Xenopus tropicalis: one gene and its partner. The protein of the gene in region 1 purifies or fractionates together with the protein of each later gene. This does not show direct contact. Links are inferred from orthologs where the notes say so. Each region holds a gene or a part of one and is shown in the gene's direction. Other genes may lie near its edges.

Region 1 (2,247 bases):
GCAGTTCGTTCATATCAACAATCTGAAGCTGATTTGCAGAGCGCACCAGTTAGTGCATGAGGGCTACAAATTCATGTTTGATGAGAAGCTTGTGACTGTGTGGTCAGCTCCTAACTACTGCTACCGTTGTGGCAACATCGCCTCTATTATGGTTTTCAAGGATGTGAACACCCGAGAGCCAAAACTCTTTCGAGCTGTTCCTGACTCTGAGCGGGTTATCCCTCCCAGAACCACCACACCGTACTTCCTCTGAAGTCCATCCACTTTTTGTGTACTGTGCTGGATTTCTTCTTTTTTTTTCATTTTATTTTAAGCACTTTGCTGCTGAAATGCTGCATCTTGCCTTTTTTTTCTTTTTAAATTATAGAATATATATTCTGTTTATATCGCTATTGTTTCTTTGTTTAGAGGTCCTTGCATTACAGGCCCCGTTTGTTGCCAGAAGGGTTTCTCCTAATAAATGGAGATAATCGACAACAAAGGTGAAAAAAATACTCTGCGTTTATGGAGGGGATAAATATTCTGGCAGTAAAAATAAGAATAATTTAGGATGCCCATACACAAGTAGAATTACTTGTTTGACACCTATGTGCAGGGCCAAAATGCATCTGATCTGGGACTAGGCAGAGCTGTCTGGAGGTGATGGCATGAACACTCTTATACTATCCTCACCCAACAGTATTTTCAAACCTGCATGATAGATATTTGGCTGATTTACTAGCGATCTCAAGATTTTGACTGTAGGGATGAATCATCAGCTTTTATTGGCCCATCTGTGGCTGGCTGGCTTTGGTTTATAGTATGGCATTAAAGTGTTTACGATTGCGGTTATCATTAGATCAGCTGCACACTGATATCATTAGGGCAATGGCACATGCAATTTTAAAGGAAGAAGAGTAACACCAAAAAATGTATTAATATAAATAAGCTGCTGTGTAGGCCACGGGGGCAGCCATGCAATCTTGAATAAAGTAGAAAAGGAACAGGTTTTATAGCAGATAACAGATTGTTTTACAGAGTTTATCTACCCCTTATTCAGGTCTGGACTGGAATTCGGAATATTATTTTAAATTACACAGAGGCCCAAACCGCCCCCTTACCAGTCCAATACATAGGGACTGTTTATGGCATTTGCCATGTTGCCGGTCTATGCCTGCCCCTATAGTTACACAACAGCTTTGTTTAGAGGAAATTTCCAAATGTTCAGTGTGTTACTCTTTGAAATGAGAGAAAACTATAAAAGTCAATGAGTCCAGAATAGTCAGAAAAATCCCATCATACAAATCTACTTTTAAACTTTAGTTTATCAGAGTTCAACTTGCAATGCTTCATTCTTACATTGTATTGAGTGCCATTCAATATTTATTATATAACTGGTGAAAACCAATTATCTTGTTTGCAGATTTTACATTTTTGGTACATAGTTTGATCAAATTATTACATACACAGAATGTTTTTATTTGATTTGAGTTTGTAATTCAAACTGGTTGTGAGACTGAAACCCTACCAATCAGGCATTTGTTTGAACAAAACATTGGAAAAGCAAGCAGTTTTAAGGGCGGGGGTATAAAGTTTATTTTAAAGTAAACAGGCTCCCCAATTAGTCATCTTTTTGGTTGGTGAGATTACTACCACTAGTGACTGGACAAAAGTCTGAATCTGAAAAACCCCTGTCAGAAAAAATAAATCTTTATTATTTAAAATGCTTAGTTTTAAAGCTACAGACAAGGATCAGTGCTGCTGACAGGCTCTCTCCTCTGCTCTCTCAGTTGTCTTATGAAGGGATCAGCAACTCCAGCTTGCATTCTGCCCAAACCAGGAAGTTGACACTGAGCTGGTTACCCCCCATGCCTTCCCTCTGCTGCTTCATTTGCATTACATTGATCCGATTGGCTGAATCTCACCAGCTGATTGTATCACAATATGCAAGTGAAGCAGCAGAGGGAAGGCTTGTGCACAAACCAGTTCAGTGTCAACTTTTTTTTATTTGCCTTCCAAGTCCTGATCTGGGAAATCCCTTACTGAGAGCAGGTGGCAGATGGGAAAAGCCTGTGTTAGCAGTGCTGTCCTGGTCTGTAGCTTCAAAACTGAACTAATAAAAATGATTTTCAAAAATGTTTTAGTAAAAAGAAAATCCAAGTAATAAAAATAGATCAGTGATTGCAAAGATTACTTACCTTTATGAAATATCAAAAGAATCAATTTTTCTTCCTGGTTATTATTGGCTGAACGCTAGTTTCCTATCTA
Region 2 (4,077 bases), on another chromosome or scaffold:
AGTTAGTTTTGTAGTTTTTGGCTACTGCTAGGGCATTCTATAATATACTTAAACTTAACTAAAAAGTACACCACCCTTAAAGGAGAAATAAAGGCAAAGTCACTTGGGGGTGCCAAAATGTTAGGCACCCCCATGTGACTTAAATCACCTACCTTTTACCCCGGGCTGGCACCCCTGTTCAGACCCCGGCACCAGCCCGGGGTAGCTGCGATCACTTCCTCCTTCCTGGTTCCATGTGCGCGCATGCGCAGTAGAGTGAAAAGCCGAATTTTAACAGAAAAGTCGGCTTTTCACTCTACTGTGCAAGAGCCGACCGCTGGCATTTTAGGAAGAGGAAGCAGGAAGCGCTGCACTACAGGTACCCCAGGCTGGTGCTGTTTTTTCCGAACAGGGGCACCAGCCCGGGGTACGAGGTAAGCCGTTAATGTCACTTAGGGGTGCCTAACATTTTTGCACCCCCAAGTGACTTTGCCTTTCCTTCTCCTTTAAATGTGAATACTGTTAGGTAGTATGTTCTGCTCCCCCTATGCTTAACTTGTTACCATGGGGATAGGGGGGTCAGGAGGGGCCACATCACTAATGCAGAGTGCGCAGTCTGCACTAGAAGAGTTACCAGGAGCCACCCCTGGAAACCCACCAGGTGCTGCCACCTAGGGCGAGATTCTCAAATTGCCTCATGGCAGCAGTGCCCCTAATTCTAAATACCGTAAGTTATTCAGGGTCCAACTCGGGGGTGGGGGGCTTAACGCACACTGGATAACCATAGGATGTTAAAAGCTTACAACCTTTATTTGCATCTTTAAAAACAGGGTGCCTAGAATTATGTTTTCTTTTATTAGGCAAAAAAATATGTTTGATATGTCCTTTAAGACCAATTCTGCAGCTTATCTGCCAGTGTATAAGGCCCCCAACTGGCCTCCCTGGGGCAGGAATGCATCAGCTCATTGATACAGTCCTCACTCCCATAGCTGTCATAACTTAATCATTTTTTGCTAAATGATCTAATTAGCCCTTAGGTGGGAGAAAGATCTGCTAGTTTAATTACCTCGCCAAACGAGCGAATCTTATGATATATGGTTACCTTTTCAGGTAAATGGAGAACAGAGAAAGAGCAGACCCGTGGAGGTGCTACAAAGATGTATTAATAACAGACATTTTCAATGGGGAGCAAGTTGCGCTGTCATTTTGCACATGTACGTCCTAAAATGGACACCGTAGTACTGTAACGTACTCTCCTTGAATCTTCTTGCTCAACGTTTTCCTGACCATCAGAGGAGGCTTTGGGAAATCGGACGTTTCTCTCAGCAAAAGAGTGGGACTGAAATGTATAGTTTTAATTACAGCATATGTTAAAATAAAGTAGGAGGGATTGTGAAACGGCATTACAAGGGGAATGGTTTATGAAGAACGACACAGGGCGGAAGGGGGAGGAATCAGGGAGGAGCTGTGTGAAATTGGAAAGCAGGGCGGATGGAGGAGCAAGAATTCTGGAGCCCTTTAGAATGATGGAGGAAGACCGAGGAATGACATCGTTCTGAGGAGGGCTCAGGGATGACGTCGCCTATAGGAGGGACAAAGGGTGACATCGCAGGGAGGAGGATGAATGGGGAAGCCTTGACCCGTCAGCACAAAGTAAGAGGCAATCTCATAACTGTTACCAACGGTAGGGGAGGGGCCAATAAAGAATTGTTTATCAAGACGGGGCTTTTAAAAGGGGGAGAGGGCAGGAAGCACTTGAATTTGGTGCATAGATGTCCCAAAATGGACACCGTACACGTGACCTTCCTTGCTCGGCTAATTAGGCTCCGCCTCTCCCTTCACATTCACAGCGCCCGCAATTGGCATACAGCGACCCGGAGCGTAGAAAAGTAAGCGCTGCTAAGCAAAACAATTGTGGCTATCACAGAAACTCACTCTGCATACTTAGCTGCGCTTAGACTTTTTGCACTTAGGTTTCTGTGCATGAAGGTGGACGACACTTTTAACATAATAAGTAAATGCAAAAGGGACTGGTTGGGATGCATATATAAGGCTCTGTAGGTATGGATGTTTGGCTCTGCATAATAAGGCGGCATCTTTGCTTTTAATCTAGCTGGTATGGAGACATAGTTGGCTATAGGGGCATAAACAAGTTATTTGCATGTTCCCGCCCATGTTTATTAAGTGAGTGTTTAAGCCTCTGATTTTTGCTTTGTATGGCAGTGCCTCTATGTGTGTAGCATGCACCATGGAAACAAATGTCTTGATAAATGTCAGATAAATACAGTGAGAATCATATACATATGTCTGCCATTGCAGCTGGCAACCTGTAGAATGAAGAAATCAGACAGCTTGTTTGTTTTTCCTGATCAGCTTTGGTTTAGTCCTACTAGAGACTGACTGGTCAAATTAGTAGGCATTTATTGTGGTCATTCTACACCCAGGGGTGTTACCTGTTACACAGACAGTAAATAAACATTTAATGTTTATCTATTTATTCTGTCACATAGAGAACAATAACATCTCTGCTCCCTTCCTGCCCAAAACTACCTCACCCACTGTAATACAGTTACCCATACTCACATATTGGCCCAATAGAGGTTAATGCTAACCCTTGCAGATTGCTTAGTGATAGAAGTGGAATTTGGCAACCCTAAAACATTGCAGAATAAAAAAAGAGGAAGACGATTCTGGTATCTCCAAGCATATCTAGCTTTAAGGGACAGCAATAGTTCAATGAACAAATAGGACATTGGTTCTTTAGTCCTTGTTTAACACCTGGATTTACTGTTTTGTGCAAGTAAATGAGTTATGTAAAGTTTTCTGTTCTTTTAATAGCTTTTTTTTTTTCATTATATTCACTGAATAGTTCTGGGTTCTAAGGGCTATGATACCCCAAGAACTGTAAGGACAAAGCACTTTTACAAAAAAAGAGACACAGCAAGTGTAGCAAGAATTACAGTCCACTAGGCATGTATACAATTGTGTATATATGTGTATATATATTGTGTATAATATAATTTTTTTTTTTTGTAAAAATGTAGTTTGTTAATTTTCTTTTGGACTACTGGACTAAACTTGACGCACATTGTGAGCCGGCATATATGCAAGCATAAAACAGATTTTTTAATGGAAAAAAATAACAAGTCTAAGCAGTTGCCCAACATACATGTATTAAATGTTTTTAATGGTTCTAAAATCATTTTTAAAAGTAATTGCTATTGAATGCACCTTTTGTGTATTTCCTACAATTGTGCAGTGATGGGCTGGGTTTTAAATTTTTTTTTTATCATATAGACCTAAGGCTGCCCTATAAAGCCACTTTTTTAGACTTGCCCTTGGGTGCGCAAAAAATTAAATAATGCCCTTTTTGTTACTTAAAGATACCTGAAGGAGTTGTGGCAACAATTAAAATTTAAAAATGCTTTTTCTCGGGGTTCCCTGATTTCCTCACATTTAAAATGTGTGGGTAGGTTTATTGGCTCCTGACAAAATTGACCATAGTGGGTGTGAATTTGATTTAGGTGCCACTGGGTCATGGTATGTTCTTTCAAAAGAAATCCGTAAAAACCTACTGAAAACTAAATTAACCAAATAAAGAAACATCTCAGTATTTAAAGGATTAGGGCCTGGGCTAAACATACTTTTTGCCTTTTGTTTTAATTAAGCATTATCTATGGTTATTATATCTTGAGTTAAACAGGACAAACAAGGGTTTTGTCCTGTTTGGGTCTTGTGAGATTACCAGTGAGCAACCCCATCCTTTCCCCCTTTGTTGTGACTGTTTTGGTTTAAAGGTAAGAAGTGATCTATTATGCAGGGGACTGCCTGTCATCTTGTAATCTAATTATCTAGCTTTCAGGGACCAAATATATGGTGTAGCTTCGGTTTCCTTATTTGACTTGTTTAGCTCAAGAAACAACAAAAACCATACATAATTCTAAATTAAAACAATAGACAAAAAGTATGTTCAGCACAAAAAGTTTGCTCAGCATGGAATTCATGCTGAAAAGTAAATATACTTCCCCCTGAACATTGCAGGTCTCTGAAATATATTGAATTAAACAGCCTATATGTAAAACAAACCATTTTCATAAA

Evidence for each region. The genes of interacting proteins can lie anywhere in the genome.
Region 2: the proteins of ppp6c (region 1) and ppp6r2 purify together in Homo sapiens (affinity purification with mass spectrometry; 9 studies listed by BioGRID and IntAct, counting the BioPlex papers as one, with this or other methods). This does not show direct contact. The link is inferred for Xenopus tropicalis from reciprocal best matches to the Homo sapiens genes PPP6C and PPP6R2.

The regions. Positions count from the first base shown.
Region 1 is NC_030684.2:28,164,327-28,166,573, reverse strand, and holds part of ppp6c (serine/threonine-protein phosphatase 6 catalytic subunit), read left to right. Parts: intron 1-4; coding exon 5-253; 3' UTR 254-2,247.
Region 2 is NC_030679.2:89,187,959-89,192,035, forward strand, and holds the start of ppp6r2 (serine/threonine-protein phosphatase 6 regulatory subunit 2), read left to right. Parts: upstream 1-1,222; 5' UTR 1,223-1,632; intron 1,633-1,738; exon of another isoform or gene 1,739-1,868; intron 1,869-4,077. UniProt on the Homo sapiens protein: Regulatory subunit of protein phosphatase 6 (PP6). May function as a scaffolding PP6 subunit. Involved in the PP6-mediated dephosphorylation of NFKBIE opposing its degradation in response to TNF-alpha.